Linked DNA regions of Kluyveromyces lactis. The protein of the gene in region 1 interacts with the protein of each later gene in a pairwise test. Links are inferred from orthologs where the notes say so. Each region holds a gene or a part of one and is shown in the gene's direction. Other genes may lie near its edges.

The links.
Region 2: the proteins of UTP22 (region 1) and MPP10 interact in binary tests that used the Saccharomyces cerevisiae proteins (3 or more experiments, as listed by UniProt). The link is inferred for Kluyveromyces lactis from reciprocal best matches to the Saccharomyces cerevisiae genes UTP22 and MPP10.
Region 3: the proteins of UTP22 (region 1) and RRP36 interact in binary tests that used the Saccharomyces cerevisiae proteins (3 or more experiments, as listed by UniProt). The link is inferred for Kluyveromyces lactis from reciprocal best matches to the Saccharomyces cerevisiae genes UTP22 and RRP36.
Region 4: the proteins of UTP22 (region 1) and CKA1 interact in binary tests that used the Saccharomyces cerevisiae proteins (3 or more experiments, as listed by UniProt). The link is inferred for Kluyveromyces lactis from reciprocal best matches to the Saccharomyces cerevisiae genes UTP22 and CKA1.
Region 5: the proteins of UTP22 (region 1) and UTP5 interact in binary tests that used the Saccharomyces cerevisiae proteins (3 or more experiments, as listed by UniProt). The link is inferred for Kluyveromyces lactis from reciprocal best matches to the Saccharomyces cerevisiae genes UTP22 and UTP5.
Region 6: the proteins of UTP22 (region 1) and HCA4 interact in binary tests that used the Saccharomyces cerevisiae proteins (3 or more experiments, as listed by UniProt). The link is inferred for Kluyveromyces lactis from reciprocal best matches to the Saccharomyces cerevisiae genes UTP22 and HCA4.
Region 7: the proteins of UTP22 (region 1) and ROK1 interact in binary tests that used the Saccharomyces cerevisiae proteins (3 or more experiments, as listed by UniProt). The link is inferred for Kluyveromyces lactis from reciprocal best matches to the Saccharomyces cerevisiae genes UTP22 and ROK1.

The regions. Positions count from the first base shown.
Region 1 is NC_006040.1:1,246,570-1,250,790, forward strand, and holds the start of UTP22 (rRNA-processing protein UTP22), read left to right. Parts: upstream 1-1,421; coding exon 1,422-4,221. Other genes in the region: KLLA0_D14762g (uncharacterized protein), read right to left, coding at 176-580. UniProt on the Saccharomyces cerevisiae protein: Involved in nucleolar processing of pre-18S ribosomal RNA and ribosome assembly.
Region 2 is NC_006040.1:821,799-825,462, reverse strand, and holds MPP10 (rRNA-processing protein MPP10), read left to right. Parts: upstream 1-1,337; coding exon 1,338-3,164; downstream 3,165-3,664. Other genes in the region: AVT1 (Avt1p), read left to right, coding at 1-945; NOC3 (Noc3p), read right to left, coding at 3,264-3,664. UniProt on the Saccharomyces cerevisiae protein: Involved in nucleolar processing of pre-18S ribosomal RNA. Required for the early cleavages at sites A0, A1 and A2 during 18S ribosomal pre-RNA processing.
Region 3 is NC_006039.1:595,764-598,527, forward strand, and holds RRP36 (rRNA-processing protein RRP36), read left to right. Parts: upstream 1-1,265; coding exon 1,266-2,264; downstream 2,265-2,764. Other genes in the region: MRPL44 (mitochondrial 54S ribosomal protein mL53), read left to right, coding at 489-546, 679-917; KLLA0_C06864g (rhodanese-like domain-containing protein), read right to left, coding at 2,649-2,764.
Region 4 is NC_006041.1:381,486-384,495, forward strand, and holds CKA1 (casein kinase 2 catalytic subunit CKA1), read left to right. Parts: upstream 1-1,388; coding exon 1,389-2,510; downstream 2,511-3,010. Other genes in the region: CAP2 (F-actin-capping protein subunit beta), read left to right, coding at 130-969.
Region 5 is NC_006039.1:579,001-582,744, forward strand, and holds UTP5 (Utp5p), read left to right. Parts: upstream 1-1,348; coding exon 1,349-3,244; downstream 3,245-3,744. Other genes in the region: negative cofactor 2 transcription regulator complex subunit NCB2, read right to left, coding at 1-217. UniProt on the Saccharomyces cerevisiae protein: Involved in nucleolar processing of pre-18S ribosomal RNA. Required for optimal pre-ribosomal RNA transcription by RNA polymerase I together with a subset of U3 proteins required for transcription (t-UTPs).
Region 6 is NC_006040.1:801,296-805,415, reverse strand, and holds HCA4 (RNA-dependent ATPase HCA4), read left to right. Parts: upstream 1-1,320; coding exon 1,321-3,633; downstream 3,634-4,120. Other genes in the region: PML1 (Pml1p), read right to left, coding at 341-994; CTK2 (Ctk2p), read left to right, coding at 4,107-4,120. UniProt on the Saccharomyces cerevisiae protein: ATP-dependent RNA helicase required for ribosome biogenesis. Involved in the release of U14 snoRNA in pre-ribosomal complexes. Required for pre-rRNA cleavage at site A2.
Region 7 is NC_006039.1:1,528,741-1,532,180, forward strand, and holds ROK1 (RNA-dependent ATPase ROK1), read left to right. Parts: upstream 1-1,200; coding exon 1,201-2,940; downstream 2,941-3,440. Other genes in the region: MRPL15 (mitochondrial 54S ribosomal protein mL57), read right to left, coding at 1-555; ATP20 (F1F0 ATP synthase subunit g), read right to left, coding at 3,238-3,440. UniProt on the Saccharomyces cerevisiae protein: ATP-dependent RNA helicase involved in 40S ribosomal subunit biogenesis. Required for the processing and cleavage of 35S pre-rRNA at sites A0, A1, and A2, leading to mature 18S rRNA.

The DNA.
Region 1 (4,221 bases):
CATTCCTTCGGGACACATTCTTCCCAGAAGAAAACAATTGAATTTGATAATTCGTCGTTGTCAATTATATTTATGGACCAGTCATTGCTTTTGTTCGGGATAAAACTCTCTAGTCCCGCTAGTCTCAATTGTCCAATTAAACAGTAAACCCATCTGTTAAATTGGTCCTTTGACTTCACTTGTTGTAGATGAACAGACGTCTTGTCTTGGAACCTGGAAAAGTCATCAAAGCTTTATATTCGCTGTCACACGAGTTGTTATTCTTCTTGGAATAACTAAACAACAGACTGCTTCGATATCTGTATTCCCTATCAAACACTTCGTAAGTACTTCCTCCAAATATCTCTCTCTCGGGATCTAAGTCTGAGTATGGGTTAACATTTTTATCCTCTTTTAAACTCTGTTTAGGAGCACTACCATCACTAACGATATCGAGTCTTTGTATATCTTCACAGATACCTCTTGTCGGATCATTACTTCCTTGCGGAGACTCAGTGACGCTGCCATGTAGGTGATCCTGGTTGTCGCAGTCACAGTCACGTGTAATTAATTCAAAACCTTCGGTATCAGATGAATCCATAGTGTTTACTAGCTATATATAGCTAGTGTGTTGATGCACCTGGCGATCTGTCATGACTGTGTTGATGGTCTTTCCCCAGATCTATGGCCTCTTTATATAATAACTCAGATTGGTTAATGATGTTTCATGTTGATACTTGACCGTCTATTGTTTCTAATCCGTCTCAACAGATAACCCGCCGAATGATCTAAAAAATCTGTAAAATTTGTAATAGATTTCGTGCCTCCTTAGCTTAGTGGTAGAGCGTTGCACTTGTAATGCAAAGGTCGCTAGTTCAATTCTGGCAGGTGGCATTCATCTTTTTCAATATCCAATCTGACCTTCCTCGAATCTATTTTTTTTTTCTTAAAGTAACATTGTGCACTAAAACTAGCAATACGGTACGTCTAAAACCATGTATTCCCTATATTACTACATATCGGGATAGTACCAGTTCCAGCACTTGAGTTGGACTTGGCTTTAGTCCAGTATGACTCTATGTATCTGACTATCTAACTGATTATTCAGAGAGACTGAGATTGGACACGTCGTATAAAGTGACAGACGCATCAAAATCCTTCACATCGAATTTTGGAAAAATTTGCCAGGCGATGAGCTTTAAAGGTTTAAAGAATTCGCATTTACATAGAATGAACGTACCCATAGGCAGGTTTATCACAGTGATTTTGTTTGGATTTCCCTCGTATTAGTTTGCTAGATATTAAAAGGGTAATTCTCTTCTGTTTTGGCTAGGGGAAATTGAAACCCTAGGACTCGGGCACTGGCTATCATTCTGTATTATAATCAATCCAGAGGCGCAAACGGTCAGGAACTAGTGAATTAAGTGGATATTTAGTGAACTATGGCCTCTGTGAAACGTGTAGCACCAGATGGTGAGAAGTCCAGGAATGGTAGTTTCACCAAGAAGGCGCTTGTAAAAGCTATTACTGGCTCACAGGCTGAAAATGACAGTGACAAGACTGGTTCTTCTTCTTCTGGAGAAGAAGAAGAAGAAAGAGAGGAAGAGGCTACTGCCTCTTCCAGCGGGGAAGAAGACGAGGAAGAGGAAAACACACATGACCATAAGGCTAAGAAGCCAAAGTTGAGCTCCCAGGATATACAAATAGCGAGAGAAACGGCTGAACTCTTCAAATCGAACATTTTCAAATTACAAATCGATGAGTTATTGGAACAAGTGAAGTTGAAGGACTCACACATCGTAAGGGTGGAGAAGTTTTTGCATAAACTATATGATATGATACAGGAAGTACCGGAATGGACTCCGCAAAGCTTAGAAGATGTAGAGAAATATTTCCATGGGAAAGTGGTATCAGTTCCGTTTGTGGATCCAAAACCACAAGCGAAGAACACACAGTACAAATTCAATTATTTAAAGCCGGACGTGAGTTTAATTGGATCATTCGGGTTGAAGACTGCCATCTACCAACCTCAGGGCTCCGCAGTAGACGTTTTGTTGACTATGCCTGAGCAGTTGTTCGAAAAGAAAGATTTCTTGAATTTTAGATGTTTCCACAAGCGTTCAGTATACCTCGCGTATTTGACTCATCATATCTCACTCGTCCTGAAAAGAAGCCAGCTGGATTTCTTACACTTGGAATATTCATACTTTAACAACGATCCTTTACAAACGGTATTAAAGATAAGTTGTAAGGAGAAAACTTCATCGGACTATAATTTCTACAAGACTAAATTCAGCATAAACTTGATCGTGGGGTTCCCATACAATTTCTTCGAATCAAAGAAGTTGCTACCCAATAAGAACTGTATCAGAGTCGGTCAGGATAACGAAACTCCGACACCTTTCTACAATTTCTCGGTATTATCATCTTCTTGTCACGAACACTATTTGAAGTACTTACACAAATCAAAGAAACAAACAGAACAGTTTAAACAGGCTTGTATTTTGGGGAAGCTATGGTTATCTCAGAGAGGCTTCTCATCAAATATGTCTCATTCAGATGCGTTGGGTGGTTTTGGAAATTTCGAGTTTGCCACGTTGATGGCAGCCCTACTAAATGGTGGTGGGTTGAATGGTAACAGAATTTTATTGCATGGGTTCTCATCTTACCAATTATTCAAAGGTGTAATCAAATATTTGGCCACAATGGATCTTTGTACTGATGGGTACTTACAATTCTATTCCGACTATAGCACTACTGCAACTGTCACTTCCTCAAAATACGTTGAAGAAGGTTTCCAAACACCTACAATCTTTGATAAAACCACCAAAGTTAACATACTGAGTAAAATGTCTGTTAACAGCTATCAAATGCTAAAGATCTACGCGCAAGAAAGTTTATTGATGTTGAATGACGTCGTCAGAGATCAGTTCGAAAACATGTTCTTAACTAACTTAAACAAGATCAAGACAGTGAAATATGATGCTTACTATGATTTAGATATCCCATCCATCAATTTACTACTGTCCAAGTTCGGTCCCGTTGAAAAGATTAGCTTTATATCATTCGAAAATTTCATCTGCAATAAAGTATCGAACATCGTGAAGATTGCCCTTGAGGATAGAATCAAAGCTTTTGAAGTGGCTCTAGTTAACAATAGATCTACTTTCCCAGTAACAAAGAGAAAAGTTGCTGCTGTTCCAAATTTCACTTCAATCCAAATTAAACTGTTGATCAACCCTGCAGAATGTGAGAAGCTTGTGACTAAGGGCCCAGAGAACACAGAAGAATTAACTAATGAAGCTAATGAATTCAAGATTTTTTGGGGTAAAAAAGCATCTCTTCGTAGATTCAAGGACGGTTCCATTGCAAACTGCTGTGTCTGGTCAACTTCTGCTATTGAAAGTGTTGTTTCTTCGATTTTGTCCTATGTTCTAAGGCTACATTTGACTGAAGACTGCAAACTCATCAATAATTCCACTAGCCAATTCCAACAGTTGTTACCACTACCGAACCTACCTGCATCTTCAAAGACATCAGTTCTAAACCTATCAAGCTACTATAACTTGAAGAAGTCCTTTGACGATTTGTATAAAATCATGTTCGAGCTAAAACTCCCATTATCAATTAAATCTCTTTTACCTATTGGTTCTGCATTCAGGTACACATCATTATGTCAGCCTGTCCCATACGCATATTCTAATCCTGATTTCTTACAAGACGTTGTTATCGAATTCGAAACGTCTACAAAATGGCCTGACGAAATTACTTCGTTGGAAAAGGCTAAAGCTGCATTTTTATTGAAGATTCAAGAATCCATCACGCAGACTCATAGTGAGTACAAGTGCTACTTTACACGTGATGAATCGATTCCATACAACTTGGAAATAGTTACTCTAAACATTTTGACTCCAGAAGGATACGGTTTCAAGTTTAGAGTTCTAACTGAGAGAGACGAAGTTATGTATTTGAGAGCAATTAACAACGCAAGAAAAGAACTAAGACCAGAGCTGGAAAAGACATTCTTGAAATTTACTGCCAAGTACCAAGCTGCTATTAGACATACTAGAACTTTGGAAAACATTTCCCATAGTTACCCATTCTACTCTCCAGTGGTAAGACTATTTAAGAAATGGCTAGATTCTCATCTCTTATATGGCCATTTGTCAGAAGAATTGATTGAGCTTATTGCCATTAAGCCATTTGTAGAGCCACGTCCATTCACCATGCCAGGTTCCGTTG
Region 2 (3,664 bases), about 420 kb from region 1:
TCGTTCCTATTTGCTATGGATTTATTAGCATGTGGTGTAGCCTTGATCATTTTGTTCGGTGATTCATTGAACGCGTTGTTCCCAGAATATTCGGTCAACTTCTTCAAATTCGTCGCTTTTTTTGCAGTTACTCCTCCAATATTTTTGCCATTAAGTGTTTTATCAAATATCTCTTTGTTGGGTATTATCTCGACTATTGGAACTGCATTGTTAGTAGTTTTCTGTGGGTTGCTAAAACAATATTCACCAGGGTCATTATTGCAACCAGAAGCCACATCGATGTGGCCCAATTCATTCAAGGAGTTTTGTCTTTCCTTAGGGTTATTGAGTGCATGCTGGGGAGGTCACGCAGTCTTTCCCAACTTAAAGAGTGATATGAGGCATCCGGAGAAGTTTACTCGTTGTTTGAAGACCACTTATAGCATCACCATTGTTACTGATATCGGAATTGCTGTCGTTGGATTTTTAATGTTCGGTAATCTTGTTATGAATGAAGTGACAAGAAGTGTGTTATTGACTCCAGGATACCCGCCTTTTGTTTATGGCCTAATTTCAACTCTTCTTTCACTGATTCCACTTGCCAAAACACCACTTAATGCAAGACCGATTGTCTCCATCTTTGATTCAATGTTTAACGTAGTGCACATCGATGAAACTAAACCAGCATCGAAGGTTTTTTTCGCAAAGGCAACCAGAATATTTAACAGAATCATGGTGAATGTTATGTTCGTGATTATTGCTATTTTATTCCCTGAATTTGACAAAATAATTGCATTCTTGGGTGCTGCACTTTGTTTCATGATTTGTTTCATTCTGCCATGTTTGTTCTACAAAAGAATTTGCTACAAAACCATTAAATCTTGGGAATTGATAGCGTGTAATATTACGATATTAATTAGTGCAGTATTATCCACTCTTGGAGTATACGCCTCCTTCACCTCATGAATTACCTACAAATGCTGTTGAATTTGCCAGCACCTCATTCTTGTATATGCATCTACGTGTCTTTATGCAAAATTTTAGCACCCAAACTAAGGGAATCACACTTCATATAATGACTTTTCACCCATATGTACTTCTGTCTAGTATTCATCACCCAACCAATGCCTCACAACTGTGTCTATTATCTCTCTTCTTACCCGCATTGGCGACAGTTCCCATCATTTTTTTCTTTTTCAAATTTTTGGATACCTGAAAAATTGATGAAAACTCATCTCATCGCATCACTCAGCATGTACGAAATATGCGTCTATAGTAGCAGCTTGATCGTATCGATACATCCACTACAGCTACACCAGTAAATAGGTAACGTTTCACTGACCCACACATAACACAACATGAGTCAGTTTTTGGAAATTTTGAAAACTAATCCTGTTGGACTTCTTTCCCAGGATGCTCTGGAGTCCAAGGAACCACTATCGGCAGTGAAGACTTACTTTGACGAAGTCATCAATCTGAATAAAAACAATGGAAATTCAAAGACAACATTAGATGAGATAGTGGTTGATGGGCTAGATGCTAACCAGGTATGGTGGCAGTCAAAAATCATTTTAGATAATGTTCAAGGTGATATCATGGAAAAAATCGCCGAACTGAAGGTTGATAATGAGAATGATATGAGCGAGGAAAGCAGCGGAGACGAAGATGATGCCTCTAATGTTGAAAATTCCAATGAAATGTCTGCAGACGAAGCTCCAGTTTCTGAAGAGTCTGCTATTGAAGAGGAGGAGGAAGAAGCAGAAAATGAAGAGCTCGTTTTAGATGAAGAACAACAGTTCTCAGAACCAGAACCTTTAGAATTACATGAGAAGGAAGAAGATAAATTGGAAAACGAAAGTGATTCGGAACCTGATGATCAATTTGTAGAAGCACAAGAAAGTCCACAAGCGATCGAAGACAAGTTTGGTGTAAACGATCAATTTTTCAATCTAGATGAATTCAATAGACAAACACTTGAGGCTGAGAATAGAAGCCAAGATGCAGATGAAGAAGATGAGGATGACGAAGAAGTTGATTATTTCGCAGATGTTCCATCGGAGGAAGATGAAGAAGCTCTATATTACGACGATTTCTTTGATAAGCCATCTAATAAAAAATCTTCCCAGGACAGGCGGCCAGGACCTTCAAAGAAAGCAGAGGCCGAAGAGGATGAATCCTTTGACGAAAGCGAGTATGATGATGCAATGGAGGAAGCTAAGTTAGATCTTTTTGCTGACGAAGACGATGATTTTCAGGGATCAGATGAAGAAACTGCTGAACAACCATTATCTACCTTTGAACGTCAACAACTTGAGCTAAAAAGACAAATAGAATCCCTCGAAAAGGAAGCTGTTGCTGAGAAGAAATGGGCGTTAAAAGGTGAAGTAAAAGCTCGCGATAGGCCAGAAGATGCCTTGTTAACGGAAGATCTTGAGTTCGAAAGAACTGCCAAACCTGTGCCAGTTATAACAGCTGAGGTAACAGAAACTCTCGAGAATATGATCCGTAGAAGGATCAAGGAAGAAGATTTTAACGATCTACAGAGGAGGGTTATCAGCGATATTTCAGGCTACAATAATAAACCAAGATTCGAACTAAGTGATGTAAAGTCATCAAAATCACTAGCTGAAATTTATGAAGATGATTTCAAAGGTGTTACCGAGGATACTGAAATATCAGAAGAATTACAGAAAAGTCACGATGAAATTTCAGAGCTATATAAAGATTTGGTTTACAAACTAGATGCATTATCGTCAGCCCACTTCATACCTAAGCCGATAAAGAAAGATCTTGAAGTAAGAGTGCAAACCGCCGCTATTTCTATGGAAGATGCACAACCACTAACAATGTCAAGTGGTTCCACATTAGCTCCTCAGGAAATCTACAAAGTTGGTAAATCAGAGAACTCTAATGAAATAACTTTGAAGAATGGTGTGGTGATGTCCAGAGATGAACTGTCCAGAGAGGATAAAAACAGACTCCGTAGAGCTGCTAAGAGAAAGAGATCGAAGCTATCTGCGAAAAGAGCCGAACAACCTAGAAAGAAGAGTAAGACGGATGATGTTCTTAATACCTTGACTAAATCCAAGAACATAACCGTTATCGATAAAAAGGGTGCCAAAACTGATGTTAAGGGTAATATAAAGAAGGATAATGCATCTGGTAACATCAATTTCAAGTTATAGACACTGTTACAGTAAGTATATATTACTATAATTAATGCAATTGCATTGAAATGAAGGTGGTAAATAAGAGAATTCTTAATTATCTTTTTATCCCCCAAACTATTTATGTTCTTGAGATTTATGGAATAATGATCTTACACCTTTTACAACAGAAGGACTGTAATGCTTGACAAGAAGGCTATTTTCCCATATAGTTGCTGCTTCTGCATTACTTCTACTTGGTAAGTCTGTGTCGATGCGGAACTCCCCATTTCCAATTCTATCGTCTGTAGAGTATAAACCCAGTACTTCTGGATATTTGGTAGTTAGTTTATCCAAAAACTTCAGCAGTGCAATTGATGTTTTTTCTGGAGTGTGCAGCAAAGCCATGTAAATTCTCTTTGTGAACGCAGCAGCTCTTTGTTTAGTGCCAGATTTTGATCTGAAAAAGACATGATCAAGGGCTTTCAACAATAACTCTGCTTTTGTTGATACGTTAACTGATGGTTTGACGAGTTCAT
Region 3 (2,764 bases), on another chromosome or scaffold:
TATAGTTACAATCAAACTGAAAGTCCAATTCGAATATGAATAGTTCCTTTTTAAAAAGCTTGCCAATAGATTCACCGTATCAACGGCTGTTACAATTGAATAAACGAATGAAAAACAACCCGCACTTAGTTCAACCTGCAAACAATTAAAGGCGAGTACCTTATATCGACCTTAAATAACAATCCAAGGATCCTAAAAACCGATTGTGCTAAAAGCAGTCTTGCTTCATTTGCAAATATTGAAGTTGTTCATTTTGCAATTGGATGTTTCTTTCAATATTTTTCATTTCGTCAAACATCGCCCAAAAACATTCAAAAACTATCCGGGTAATAGTATAGCCTCTGATGAGATCGCTATTACCATTTAAACAGTTTTAGGCAAAAAGCTAGAGATGAATACAGCTGTGAAGTATGTTTTTGGATGAGGACGTCTCATCAGAGTAATACTTGGGAGTTTGTCAGCTGTTGTCAAGAGAACTATAGAGCAACATGATCACGAAATATTTTACTAAGGCAGTTGTGAAATTCAATCCATTAGGAAAGGAAGGTATGTCTTCAAAGAAAGAGAAATCATTAGTTGGACATCATTTAAAACTACCGAACACCATTACTAACATAATATGATTTACGGTTGTTTTACTATTAAAACATCAATCGTCTCATTTATCTTCATCTACAGCCAAGACAGCTAGGTTGTTCTTAAGTGCTATTCCTCCTTCACAAAGAACAAGTGGATTACAATTGCAAAACGAAGTTTTGGTTTCTGGCTCTAATAAGAAACCTACAGTGAAAGTTACTTTCAAAGATAAAACTGAATTGGAAGCTGATCCAAGCAGTATGAACTTCATGGAACTAGGGAACTACTTTGATCGTCATTCAAGAAAATTGGCCCTAAAGGAAAGTATTGAATCTCAATGATTTCTTGTGACGAGATACCCATCACAAAATTCATGTATATATAACAATAAGTAAAAGAAATTTAATGTAGTATAAGATATAAAACACTACAATGCTTCAGTGGATTAAATTGAGTCAACGCTGTTGGTATGATCACAGACCTTATTATTTGAAGCTCCCTTCCTGTCCATTATTCATTTACATCGCCTGAATAGGAATTTCAAGTTTCTTCCAGATATTGAAAATTTTATACGGTGCCAATGCAGAAGCGATGAGCTAAACTTAAAATCAAGAAGAACTTCTATGTAGAAGCGACTGATAACTAACCTGTAAGCAGCCACGGCCACAAAAACTACCAGTAATATACAAATGTCATTTTACTTCAAGAATATCAAGCCAGATCTTCATTCAGGAAACGAAGATGAGGAAGATGACATAGCATCAATCATAAGAATAAACGATACAAGTGATGCAGAAGGTTCACAAAGCGAAGATGAGCTAAAGACACTCTCATTTGGATCTTTGAAGAAAGCTGATGAAATGATGGACAATGAGGAACAAACCAGCAGAAAAAGCAAAAGCAAAGCGAATGGTGAGAAGAAACATTTGAATAAGCCAAAATCAAGAGAGTTGACTGAGAAACAAAGGAAACTTGATGATGGACAGAGACGTCAGAGCGGATTACAGGAAGAAGAAGCACAACAAAAGTCACAGTCTATCAAAATGTTTGCAGAAGAATCTTTCGGAGAAGAAAGTGATTCTGATAGTGATGGCGGCTTTTTCGATGAAGAATCAAACGATGAGGCTAATCAGAATGGTAAAAAGAAGAAAGGTAAAAGAAAGCACGCACCAACCGAATCATCGTCAAAGAAGAAAGTGCGCTCCATGAGAAAGATTCCTGGGTTAGAAGATAATAAGAGTAAATCCATCTATCAAGATGTCAGGTTTGATAAAGCCATGGGAAAGTCAGAAGACTTGGCAAAAATCCGTCAACGATACAAGTTCTTGGATGAGTACAGAGAAAAAGAGATCAACGAATTGGATAGCATGCTCCATGATAGAAAATTCCTAAGTAAAATCAGCGACAGAGAGAAGAGTGAAATGGAGCAGCAGGTGAGAAGGATGAAATCAAGATTAGAAACGGTGCAAGTCATGGAAATGGAACAAAAGATTGTAAAGGATTATGAAGCAGAAATCAACAAGAATAACAAGAATAAATACCATTTGAAGGATTCAGAGAAGCGGAAGGTAATACAAAAGTGGAAGTTCGAGCACATGAAGGGTAAACAAAGAGAAAAGGTAATGGATAGAAAGAGAAAGAAGAGATTAGGTAAAGAATTTAAGCAATTCGAATTTCATAAGAGGTAAAGTATGCGATCGGATCAATTGCATTCTACTCATTAATTTCAAAGAGATATTGCCTTTATTGAAACGGATGTTTCATTATGTGTACATAAAGTATAGATGTCAGGTTTTCAAATTTAGGCCACTCTATATAGTTGATTTAACGGGAATAATTTAGATAGAACCCAAATCTAGGACCATAGATTTGACAATCGAGTCTGAAAGGGACAGAACAGTCGTGATTTCAAATAAATTTATACCACATCAGCTAAGTAAAGTAACTGGATCACTCGGGAAAATGAAAGCCTACTCTTTATCCAGTTATTTTTTGGAAGAAGATGCAAACAAATCATATCACTCTCATTATGGATACAACAAAAAAAAATAAAATGAACAAGACATTACAAATCATTTCTTTGGTTGGGTCCTCTGCAGCCATTCATTGATCGAACCAGGCCATACTCCAGTCTTCTCATAACCATAAGATCTAGCTAGTTCTTCAGCTGCTTGAGCTCTAATCCCGG
Region 4 (3,010 bases), on another chromosome or scaffold:
TTGAAAGGAAAACTACGAAAGAAATCATTAAAGGAGTAGAAAGGGTAAATGTAAATACATCAAGCAAACTGAAGAAAACTCATTGAGCGTGGTAACTAGTTGTAAATATACTGAAGATACGGAACTAGAATGTCTGTGGACGAGAAATATGATGCTGCTTGCGAGCTTTTATACAGATTGGATCCAACAAAGGTGAAAACCCATTTACAGAACCTTATTGCGTTGGAGCCTGAAATCGCAGAAGGATTACTTTCCTCAATTGATATCCCATTGACCATTAAGAAGGATACCGATGCTAACAACAAAGAATTCTTATGTTGCGACTACAACCGTGACATCGATTCTCATAGGTCACCGTGGTCTAACCAGTACTTCCCTGAATTGAGTGCCGAAGATTTGAAAGAAAGTCCTTTTCCCAGTGAGCCATTGAGAGAACTAGAAGTTGCATGCAACAATTCTTTCGAGTTGTATAGGGACCTATACTACGAGGGTGGTTACACTTCAACGTATCTCTGGGACGTTGATGAATCAACTGATTTCGCGGGAGTCATTCTTTTCAAGAAAGCTGAATCAGATGATTCTAAATGGGACAGTATCCACGTCATATCTGCCACCCACGATGAAGAGGGTATGGAAGTCACATATAATGTCACTACAACGGTGATCTTGCACTTGGAAAACCTATCAAAAGAACAACAACTATCATTGTCCGGTAATCTAACTAGAGAAAATTCCAAGACCGTAAAATTGCAAAACGTATCTACTGTTGAACAGCTAGTACCCGCTCACTCTTCCAGCTTGGGATCTATGATTGAAGATATTGAATCTAAGCTTAGATCAATGCTCGAAATCGTGTATTTCGAAAAGACGTTGGATATTTACAACGTGTTGAGAGAACGTAACGATGATTCTACCAAATTGCAAAAGGAGCAACACTCCGAATTAATTGAAAACTTCCAGAAATTATAATCAATTGAATAAATAAAGTAAGAAATTATACACACATACACTACGTATAAATGCTAAATGAACACCATTATATTTTGCCGGTTCGTCAGTCAACACAATTATTGGCTAGAATTGTTCTATACATAAAACCGTTACCCTAACTCCTCATACTGTAGTTTCGAAATGTCAATTTTTGCAAGAGAGACATGAACTGAAAAGAAATCAGATAACCCAGAAATGAAAATTCCAGTTTGAGTATAGGCATTACAAAAGCTTCAAACGTACTGGATTATATACGGTGAGTGGTTTGGATTTCTCGGACTCATTATTACCACTGTTTATAGAAATAGAAAAGGTCAACAAAAAACTGGCTGGCAATCGTTCTCGTTGTTAATTTCGTGGTAGTTTTAGAGACTTTCCAGTACATTATTAAAAGGAAGATGAAATCGAAAGTGTGGAGTGAGGCAAGAGTCTATAGTGATGCCAACGAGATTCGTGGTCAAAGATACTGGGACTATGAAAATACATCAATAGAATGGAAGGCTAATAACTCACAGTACGAAGTTGAATGCAAAGTTGGCCGTGGTAAATATAGTGAAGTTTTCCAAGGCGTACAGTTATCCACGAGAAATAAGATTGTCATTAAGATGCTAAAACCTGTGAAGAAGAAGAAGATTAAGAGAGAAATTACCATACTTGCAAACCTCTCGAATGAGAAGAATCCGCCAACTGCGCAACCTTACGATGAGGCAAAATATTACACAAACAGAAGAGAAGAAGTACTGAAATATGCGAGAGATAAAGTATATGACTTACCTCATAACGGGCATGAGAATATTATAACATTGTTAGATGTGGTCAGAGATCCCATATCCAAGACACCTGCATTGATTTTTGAACATATCGACAATACGGAATTCCGTAGGTTGTATGCTTCATTTTCGGATCTTGATATTCGTTATTATATGTTCGAGCTTTTGAAAGCTTTGGACTACTGCCATTCGATGGGTATTATGCATAGAGACGTCAAACCACACAATGTAATGATTGACCATAAGCAACACAAATTGAGACTAATCGATTGGGGTTTGGCTGAATTTTATCATCCATCGATGGAATACAATGTCCGCGTTGCGTCAAGATTTTTCAAGGGCCCAGAACTTCTAGTTGATTATAGAATGTACGATTACTCGCTAGACTTATGGTCATTTGGAGCAATGTTAGCATCAATGGTTTTTCTGAAAGAGCCTTTCTTCTATGGGTCGAGTAATACTGACCAGCTAGTCAAGATTGTACGCGTCTTGGGTAGTGATGATTTCGAAAGATATTTACAGAAATATCAGATAACACTCCCAGATGAGTTTATTGATATGGATCAATACATCAGAAGACCATGGCAGAAATTCGTCAATGATTCCAACAAGCACCTATGTGGAAACGATGATATCATTGATTTAATCGATAATCTTCTTCGTTACGACCATCAAGAAAGATTTTCTTGTAAAGAAGCTATGGCTCATCCATGGTTTGCTCCAATTAGAAACAACGAATACACATTATAACCGTTCCATAGATCAATATTTTTATGAAGTTAATAATAATAATAATACTAATAACAACTGTGTGAGCTTTCCTATAATAAGTGTTGGAGGATATATTTTGATCGGGTGCTTCTAAATCTACGAATTTATTATTGACATTCATTGAGAAAGTTTTCAGATGTTGTGGAACTGTTTTGATCCTGAAGCTGAGCCCAGTCAAGCATTTGAAATTCTGCAATGAACGTTTTGTCTTTCAACATCAATAACTCACTCTGAACATACCTCTTGCTTTGAAGGATATTACATCCGTCACAATGAACTTCTCTGCAGTGTTCCAAAATCGATGACAAAATCTGTAGACAGAATCTGAATGCTAGTCCGAAATAGGGAACAATAGGAATTGTTAATCTTTTTCCGAACTTCATAAGATATTCCCACCTTTTCTGGAAAATAACGTGAAAGGCAGAATCCGTTCCTGCCTTTAAATCACTCCAAAATGTTTGTGAATCCAGTAATTTCTC
Region 5 (3,744 bases), on another chromosome or scaffold:
AGGATTTGATCACGTGATCAGGCGCTATCGTCTTTTTCAACTCTTTATCTGCGATCTCGCTAGCAGAACCCGCTAGCATCATGATGAACTCTACCCCACATTCGATGATTATTTCACGAGCCTCCTTACTGAATGTTAGATCGGAATCAAGTACTTCAGATATGATTTTTTGAACGGTAGCCTTCGGTAATGTAACGTCGTCAACCTCTCCAACCATGTTTTCAATTGCTTATGGTTGAAATTCTAACGGTCTTTATTTTCTAAGATAAAGCTTGTGATTATTATTTTTTGGTTTTGCAAGCTTCCCTGAAAAAACTATAATACTCTCGAACTTAATTCTGTGCTGCAAGTCAATATACCAAACAAGCACTTCACGTAGTAATCAATTAGATAATTGGATGAACTTGAGATGATAACAGATTGTAAACAAATTTAACAATGTCAACTTTTGTTTTTAAATGCCTGGTATTACACTTTTTTGTCCTCCTTGAACTCTAGATCTGAATTATGTATAATAATATATACTAAAAAAATACTCATCGCTATTTCATTCACTATGCAAAAAAATGATATGGCTCGCCAAATTGGCACATTTTTTGATGCTTTATATATAAAACTACGAATCAAACTAAGAAGAAAAGTTGAAAATAAAAAAAAAAAAATTAAAACAACAACACACATCGCACACATCGCATCACCTATGCAAACAAGGGACAATAAGGGAATTCTGATTGGAAAATATATATATATAGATGTATATTCAAATTAGCAACAGGACAGAGACATATAAGTGTTGACCTTGGTTGTTAGGCAGGAGCTCTTTCCTTACTTGACGTAAATTCTTTATGTTGTGTTAATCACCCAGCTTCCTCTCATCACAGTAGAAATGCTAACTAGTGTTTGTTAGGAGATATGAAGTGTATAACTTGAAAGCAGGAAGGCAATGTTTGGAGGTTGTAAAATAAGATTGCAAAAGCTGAGTTAACGAACTCAGCTCAGTGGATGTATCCTGAAGAAAAGCCTTAAATTGGGGACCACTGGCTATATGCTCCAAATCACGTGAACAATATATGCTAACTTCTTATTACCCGGCACTTGTTTTTTGTAAGTAAATCTCACTTTTCTTTCTCCTTTCCAAGCTAAAGCTTTTCATTTGAAACTTTTCATAGCTCATCTCATCGCATCTCATCTGAGCTCATCGCACAGTATTTACTTTTGTGTACTTACTTCTTTCCTAAAGTGTTTCGATAAAACGTCTTGGGATATTAATTGAACAATCACCGGCTTTCGTACTGTTTAAGCTAGAGGTCTACACTCTACCACACGAATAACAATAGCAAGCTTAACGATGGCAACAGCTTCGCCAGTCGTATTATCACAATATGATCCAACCGGACAATATTTTGCATACGTTTCCACCGCTTTGGATAAACAGCGGGTATCAGTGGAGCCAACAACTGCCTCCAAATCTGGTTTAGTGAACGATAATTTTCTCTATTTGGAGGGGAAAGACGTCTGCTGTACATGCATACAATGGATTACTTACAATGACACACCATTGGTAGTTCTGGGTCTAAACCTAGGGGAAATATGGCTATACTCTCCTTTATCGAATGAAATAGTGGCGAAACTGAACACAGGATCAAGCTTAGCAGTTTTAGATTTCCAACTCTTTTCAAGCAAGGACAAGGCCTGGTGTTTGACTGGTGATGATACTATTTTTTTATTCGACATGGTATCACAGAATGTATCAAAAAAATTCAAAATTGATGAATGTAAGGACTTAAAAAAGCTATGCATAGTTGATAGCAATCGTATTCTTGTCGCTTCTCATCAAATTTACTTAATCGATGTCATTTCAAAGAAATTGTTGTTACAATACCCTGGCCATATTTCACCTGTGTCTTTCCTTCAAGTGACCACAGATGGAACAGCATTTTTGAGTGCATCTCAGGACGATAGATTTTTGAATATTTATGATTTGGACACTACCAAGACTAAGTCCGTCCTAGTAGCGGACTCGAACGTTATATCAATTTCGATATCTGAGGATTGGTCTCACGTGTCGGCAACAACAGAAGATGGGGATATTGCTATCTTTGAAGAACCTTTGGTATCAATCAATTCAGGGAATAAGAGACGTTCTGGTAAGATATCCAAACAAAAAAACAAAACTATAACTTTATTAAGGTCTAATTCCGCAACCAGATTGCCTATTATCAAAAGTTTTATCAACAAAGATCTAATTAATTTTTCGTGGTTAGAAAATGCAACCACACCTTACTTTGATCAAGTTCAATTAGGTAACCTAACGGATTCAGTCACCACTTTATCCAAGCCATTGCCATCTGCTAAATCTACACAAACCAGGAACAACCAAAACAGTGATATTTCTTCGGCAAAGCTCTACAAAGAGGGTAATGCAACGGTAACATCTGGTGATAACTTTAAGCATGTGGAATCCATTGTCCAAAGTTTAGATGATATAGAAGGAGAAGGGATTTCAGAAACTTTACAGGATAGACTAAATATAATTTCACCACCATCGAGAAAACCAAAGGAAAGGAGAAGAGCCAACGCTGGTACTTCTTCTGTTGTATTAGCTCAAGCATTAAAATCAAATGATCATGCTCTATTGGAAACAGTCCTTAACACACGCGACGAAAAAGTCATTCAAGCAACCATAACCAGGTTATCCCCCCAACTTGCTACGATTCTCTTGGAAAGACTCGCTGAACGTATCGCCAGACAAACTCATAGACAAGGTGCTTTGAACGTGTGGGTGAAATGGTGCCTAATAATTCACGGGGGTTACTTAGTTACCATTCCAAATTTGATAAATTCATTGTCATCGCTACATGCTACTTTGAGGAAACGAGCAGATCTCTTACCAACACTCATGGCATTGGATACACGTATTACACGTTCATTAGATGAATTGAACAGTAAGAGAGCCGTACAATACGGCAAGGATCAACTTGATTCTGAACTTGTCGCTCCATATCAGGATGACGAGTCGAACCAAAATGAAGATGAAGAGGAAGAAGTGGAATATATAGAAGAGCTAGACGATGCTGGATTAATAGACGATGGTGAAGACAGTGCAGAGTACTCTGAAGATGATGACGAACACAGCGAGGCTGATAATCAGGAACTTACATACACTGAAGAAGGATTTGACGACGATGACGAAATGAGGGTCGACGTTGAAGAAGGATACTCTGACGAAGAAGTTCAGCATTAGCGTACATAAAAGAAAAAATATAAAACGCTAACGCATTGAAAAATGCAGCTGCTATGTATCGACTTAGACCTGACATTCTTCCTCCATGCAGCTTTAAGCTTGATTGATCATTATGGCCGGGTAATGGAAACATCGGAGTTTGACTCTGTCTGTAAATAATCTAATTAAAAAAAACAATTGTTTGCTAGTGATGCTCTCAGAATTCAATTTAATCCAGAACCAAACAAGTTAAAAATTTAAAGCGTGGAACATGGAAAATGTAGAAGCGTTTAATGAGGTGTTCTGTGTTGGTTTAGAACGTGCATTTTTGGTAGACGGTCTATCCGGCTCGGAAATCCCGTTCTCGTAAACAATTTTAGAATTTCTCTACTGGTTGCAAGCACGTAGGTTCGTCTCGCGGTACGGGAGTTGATCTTGTCCATGGGATCAGTATCTATCGTTTCGTTTTGTTTTTTTTTATATCTTTGACAGATAAAGTATAAATGTGTCGTGTATTCTTT
Region 6 (4,120 bases), about 450 kb from region 1:
GTATTGTCTTGCGCATGTCATTTCTATATTTGACAAGCTCTGATGCTGACCCGTATGTCTGGAACAACACAACTGCGGAAAGTTCCATTGACTTGTACGCAACGAGAAGAATAAAGCAGCAAAAAAAAAAAAAAGAAAAAGTTCTTGTTTAACATATTTAAAACGAGTCCAACTACCTCTTCCATTCTCTAGCATACATCGATATTGATTTATCTTTTTCTCACATAGTTTTGTAATGTATAGAAATTACATTTCCGATTTTATAAAATACAAATAATATAAGGTTTCAAGAAATCGATTCTCAAGAAGGACTTGTACATGAAAAATACAAAAGAATAGATCATACGGCTAGGAAAATGAGCTCATAATCTGAATCATTTGGATCTTCAGATACGTGTATAATATCAGAGCTCTTTAACTCGATATACCGGGCGCTAGGAACGGCTGAATCATTCAAACACGTACCGTTGGAAGAATCAAGATCAATCAAGTATGGAATTAAAGATTCACCGACTTGTCGGAATTGTACGGCACAATGTTCTTTCGAACAGCTTTCCTCTTGGATTGGGATATCAGCAAGAATAATTTCCTCTCCATCAGATTCGAAGCGTCGTAGACTCTGACCTAATCCTCTACCGATAATATAGCAACTTTTATCATGCAACTTAGTTTTACTTACTTCACCCTTGACGCCCTTCCTATACACAACAAGCTCATAACGAATTTGATCCCACTTAGGTACTTTTAGCTTTTTATAGAAATCGTGGGGTGATATCGCATCTTTGGGCTCTACATGCTTAAGTTGTATGCCTTTTTTCTGGTGGCTTTCCAGTTCCAATAATCCTGATGGCTCAAATATAGGCAAGATTACTTTTTTTTGGGCACCTTCATAGCGGCTTCTTTTCGTTTCGTGATCGTATCGATATCTGCTACCTTCACGTTTGATGCTCATTCTTTTGGCGCCGTTGCTTCCATAGATGACGGTATATTCCATATATCTTACATATTTATTCCATATATTGTGCAATTCACAATATAAGGTTCATCTGTCATTTCATCGCTTTTCATGTTGTAGGAAAAAAGAAATAGAAAAGAAAATTTTTGGTAAATAGAAGAGCTCATCTCATCTCATCTCATCTAGATAGAGGTTCGAACCTCAACCTCAAGGAAAAGTAGTTTACTTTGTCTTTGAGCGGTATCATTAATCGACCTATAGAGAAGTTGATTAAAGTAGCAAACTGGTGCATTTAATCATTTAACTAAACGTTTAATCAACTGTGCCAATATAACTTATAATTGGTTTGCAAAGAGCATTTAAAGATGGCCAAGAAACAAAAGCATAATACCCAGCAGCGTAAGCTGATTCGTGAAAGAGACAGCCAGAAGATCAAAGATCTTGAAACTAAGGTTGAAGAATATAACCCGAAAATTGCTAAGGCTAATTTGTTTCAAGATTTACCCATTAGTGAACAAACTCTAAAAGGGTTGAAAGAAGCAGCATTTATCAAATTAACCGAGATTCAGCGCGAGTCCATACCTCTCTCCTTGAAAGGCCACGATGTATTAGGCGCTGCCAAGACAGGTTCTGGTAAGACTCTAGCATTTTTGATCCCTGTTATCGAAAAGTTATACAGAGAGAAGTGGACAGACATGGATGGGCTAGGTGCATTGATCATCTCCCCAACAAGAGAATTGGCCATGCAAATATATGAAGTGTTAAGTAAAATTGGTAAGCACACTACCTTCTCCGCCGGTTTGGTTATTGGTGGTAAAGATGTTACTTTTGAGAAAGAGAGAATTTCGAGAATTAACATTCTAATAGGAACACCAGGCAGAATCTTACAGCATATGGATCAAGCCGTTGGATTCAATACTTCAAATTTACAGTTGTTAGTACTCGATGAAGCCGACAGATGTCTAGATATGGGTTTCAAGAGAACCCTTGATGCCATTATTAATAATTTGCCTGCTTCAAGACAAACACTTTTGTTTTCAGCTACTCAATCACAAAGTTTGGATGACTTGGCTAGATTATCTTTGACAGATTACAAACAGGTAGGAACGATGGAAGTTTTAAATGCTAATAGTTCATCTGCGACTCCAGAATCTTTACAGCAGTCATATATCGAAGTGCCACTACCTGACAAACTTGACATTCTGTTCAGTTTCATAAAATCGCATTTAAAGTCTAAGTTAATTGTGTTTCTATCAAGCTCTAAACAGGTGCATTTTGTTTATGAAACTTTCAGGAAATTACAACCTGGTATATCTTTGATGCACTTGCATGGTAGACAAAAGCAAACGGCGAGAACTGAGACGCTGGATAAGTTCAGCAGAGCGCAACATGTCTGTCTATTCTCAACTGATGTGGTTGCTAGAGGTATTGATTTCCCATCTGTTGATTGGGTGATCCAGGTTGATTGTCCTGAGGATGTCGATACATATATCCACAGAGTTGGAAGAGCAGCCAGATTCGGTAAAGAAGGTAAGTCACTCATTATGTTAACACCAGAGGAAGAGGAGGGATTCTTGAAAAGATTAAAAACTAAAAACATTGAGCCCAGTAGACTAAATATCAAACAATCAAAAAAGAAATCTATCAAACCTCAGTTACAATCACTCCTTTTCAAAGATCCCGAATTGAAATATCTAGGCCAAAAGGCTTTCATTTCTTATGTTAGATCGATATACATTCAAAAAGACAAAGAAGTCTTCCATTTCGACAAAATACCATTGGAACAATTTGCTAACTCTTTAGGTTTACCAGGTGCTCCAAAGATCAAGATGAGGGGAATGAAATCGATAGAGAAGGCAAAGGAGTTGAAAAATACATCAAGACAGCTCCTAACCCTAGCAAAGGCAAATGATGAAGGTGATGTGATTAAAGAAAACAAACCTGAAGTGAGGACCAGATATGACAAGATGTTCGAACGGAAAAACCAAACTGTGCTAAGTGAGCACTATCTGAATGTCACCAAAGCACAAGCTCATGATGATGAGGATGAAGATTTCATCATGGTTAAACGTCAAGACCATGAGTTGAATGAAGCTGAATTACCTGAACTTCTTGTTCCAACATCTAAGAGAGCCCAAAAGAAAGCATTATCAAGGAAGGCAACATTAGCATCTAATGGTAACCCAACCAAAGTCAAATTTGACGATGATGGTAAAGCTCATCCTGTTTACGAATTAGAAGATGAACAAGATTTCCGTCAAAATGGTAACTCAGAGAAGCAAAAAGAAGAGTTCTTGTCTAAGGAGGCAGAGCTTATGGCAAAGGTTGATGTAGAAGATAAACAGGTTGCAAAAGAGAAAAGGCAAGAAAAGAAACGTAAGAGACTAGAAGCAATGAGAAAAGAAATGGAAGCTGATATGGAGGATAGTGATTATGAGGATGAACCAGTAGCATACCTTGGAACTGGGAACCTAAGTGACGATATGCAATCTGGAGCTGACACTGAAGACGATTCTCAAGATGAAAGGCAACCAAGAAAAAAGAGCAAATATGCTGATTCCAGTGAAGATGAGGAAGAGGAAGAAAGAACTACTGAACGTGATAGAATTATCGAAGTGGAAGAGCCACAGACTCTTGAAGATTTGGAATCTCTAACAGCAAATTTGATTGGATCTTAGATTCATCAACTGCTTGACTTATTTAATCATGTATAAAAATAGACGATAACCTTGCATTCCAATAATAGGATAACATCTCCCTTTTAGGATTACGACAATACACTTGAATAATTTATTGCCTCATCAAAGTAGCTCTGGCATTTACCGACTTGCTTCGTGATTCAAAGCATTTCACCCACAGACCTTCCAAAGATCAAAACGTTTAAAATGACATGTTACTTGAAGGGAAATTTCATTCAAAAAGTTTTGTTTTAAACCTGTTCTGCGAATGAAAAATTAAAATGAAATAAGAATAGCTTTTGTATGTGTAGTATTATAGAAAGAAGCAAAAGTTGTCGTTTCTAAACGATAAGAGTTCTATTCTATCCAAAGTTGGTGTCAAATATAAGAAAACCCCAATATACCTGTATTAGATAGGCTGTGATTAGTGAGGGTAGAATTTCGTGGGTTTTAGTTCCAATTACTACTCTGCAATGTCGAATCAAAG
Region 7 (3,440 bases), on another chromosome or scaffold:
ATACTCACCGTTATATTTGTGACTTTTTTGAGTGTCTCGTTTGTTCCAAAACACTAATTTATCTAGGTTTCTCCTTTGCAAAAATTCAGCCGTACTCTGTTTGGATATTAACATTTTAGAACTTCCCTTCCCAAGCATACCGAAATTTAGTCCGTTAATAACAGGTTCAGACTGTACGCTTTGTGATAGTTGCCTTTCAGAAACAGGTAGACCCAAGGAATGAAGACAAGCTTGATATTTCACAAAATGACCACCGATAATAGACAATTTCTGATTGTATGGTTTAATACCTTGGGCAAACGACTTGTGAGTCAAACATTGTGTAATGATGTCGTCTGGCAAGTCAATACCATATTTTTCCAAATTCAAACCTTGCTTAACAGTAGATACATGGCCATCCTTGACAAGAGAATCATAGTGCAAACCGTGTGGATTCTTCAAAGACTCAACTGGGTCTCTTTTCAAACCACGTACCCTAGTCCCAACGTGTAGATAAGAACCATTACGCACGCCGAATTTTGTGCTTAAGTTAAGACCAATTTTGGTTAAGGACATTATTCCAGAAGTAAAAAAATACTGTCTGAATGGTTTCTGTCTGGTATTTTCACAATTCAATCTTCCTCGACCGAATATCAACAGATTGTAATTACACAGGACACAAATATTAGAATTATTGAATCTTAATTCTAACAGTTTAGTCCTTTTAACTACGATTCAAACTGTTTCTTTGTAGTTTTTCGACTCGAGGCAGCGATCCAAATTTTGAAATTTTTCAAAATTTTTCAGATCACTCCAAACGAGGTCATCGCTGTGTCTAAGTGCTATCTTGTATGATGGGAATACATGCAATATCAAGGCATTAGGTACTGTTATCAAGGGAATATGGTCATTATGGGCTGGTATTATGAGGGCTTAATACCAGCTGTATCTTAAAGTAAGCTTTGCTGCATCTTTATGCCTTGAGAAGTACTTTTATATCGATTTTTACACTTATTGTACCCTAAGTTTTGTGAAAAGAAACGCTTCAGTAAGATCAATTTTAATTGAAAAAACTGCAATTAGATGTAGGCGATGAGATGAGATGAGATGAGATGAGAGAGTAGTAAGAGATTGATTATATCACTCACAGTGGTTTACTATCGAATTTATTCTCATTACTAAGTAACTTCTCACAGGCCAATACTAGCACCGCTAATTAACATGGATATCTTTAGAGTCTTGACTCGTGGAGCTAGCATAAGGAAGAATGGTGATTCTAATAGAACACAGTCTGCAGACTTTAGCATGGCTAATGAAAAGAAGAGTAAGACAGCTGGCAGCTCAAGTACACCAGCTAGAGATGAACAACAATTGACTAAGGAGTTGGATTTTTTCCGTAATAAGAAAATCATGAATAAGGTAAAGTCTGAGTCAACCAAAGGTGAAGGTGAAGACGAAGTACAAGAAGATAATCAAGAAGAAGACGAAGATCATGCTGATGACGAGACTGAGTTATCCGGGAAAATTATCACGAAACAAGATGCGTTAAAGTTACGTAAATCTTATCAAGGGAATGTTTCAGGGAATAGTGTTCCTTTGCCCATCGGTTCTTTTGAAGACTTGATCACAAGGTTCCAATTCGATAAGAGATTGTTAAACAACCTCATAGAAAATAACTTCACTGAACCAACTCCGATTCAAAGTGAATCTATACCGATTTTGTTGCATGAACGTGACATGATCGCTTGTGCTCCCACAGGTTCTGGTAAAACGTTGGCATTTTTGATCCCACTACTGCAACAGATAATCAACGATAAAACCACAGTTGGTCTTAAAGGTTTAATTATATCCCCAACAAAAGAACTTGCGAACCAGATCTTCATCGAATGTTCCAAATTAGCGAACAAGATATACTTGGACAAGAAAAGACCTCTGCAAGTTGCCCTACTTTCAAAATCATTAAGCTCAAAATTAAAGAATAAAGTTATCAGTGAGGACAAGTACGATATTATCATTTCTACTCCCTTGAGATTGATTACTGTGGTTCAGGAAGAAGCCTTGAATTTGGGTAAAGTGAAACATTTAATATTTGATGAAGCGGATAAATTATTCGACAAGACATTTGTGGAACAAACTGATGATATCTTGAGTTCATGTACTGATCCACATCTCCGTAAAACAATGTTCTCTGCCACTATACCATCCAACGTGGAGGAAATCGCCCAAACCATCATGAACGATCCTATCAGAGTCATTATCGGTCACAAAGAAGCAGCAAATATCAACATTGATCAACAATTAGTATTCTGTGGTAACGAGGAAGGTAAACTTATAGCCATCAGGCAATTGGTTCTTGAAGGTGAATTCAAACCTCCAGTAATCATCTTTTTGGAATCTATTACAAGAGCCAAGGCATTGTTCCATGAATTGCTATATGACAAGTTGAATGTGGACGTGATCCATGCCGAAAGAACTCAAGTTCAAAGAGATAAAATTATCGAAAGATTCAAGTCTGGAGACCTTTGGTGTTTGATCTGTACCGATGTGTTGGCTCGTGGTGTCGACTTCAAAGGTGTGAATCTGGTCATCAATTATGATGTTCCTAGATCAGCTCAGGCGTATGTGCATAGAATCGGTAGAACAGGTAGAGGTGGTAGATCCGGTAAAGCCATTACTTTTTACACGAAACAAGATTCTTTGGCAATTAAACCAATAATAAACGTGATGAAGCAAAGTGGATGTGAAGTCTCAGAGTGGATGCAAAAGATTTCTTCCATGTCCAAAAGAGAGAAGGAATCATTGAAAAAGGGTAAGGGTCATGTGGAGAGGAAACAAATCAGTACTGTTCCTAAGGTTGTAAAACAAAAAAAGAGACAAAGAAGAGAAATGATCGAAGCTTCAAAGAAACGGAAACTCTCTGTATCGGATGCCGAGGAAGAAGCTGGCAACGATTCGACCTAACCTCAGGATAACCCCTGTTGCTTATTTCCAATATCAAATGTTCGAATTAAGTCATGATGATATACATATAATTAAAGCGTCGCAGAATCCGTATGTATATTACATATAGACGATACATATATATAGTCTTTTAACACTTCATCTGGGAAACCAGAGTAAAAGTCGCTTTATTTTTAGGTTGTTTTTTTCTTGGCTGGAAATGAATATAGTGTTGTTTGTAGTTGTTAAAATTTCGTTCGTATGTTACTGAATATGCTTTTAAAATTGATACGGTCGGCCTCTCAATCAATTCCATTTTTAGTGGTGAGTAGAGTAGTTACGGTAACCAACAACCTTTCTTCTACCGATAATTTCACCCAATGAGTATAAACCTAACAATTGCACGCCGAAAGCACCGATCTTAACGGCTTGGTCCTTTTCAATGTTCTTCAACAAGTTAACAACTTGTTGAGGCTTATCAGCATAACCCAAAGCTTGTCTGTACAATCTGGTGTAGACCA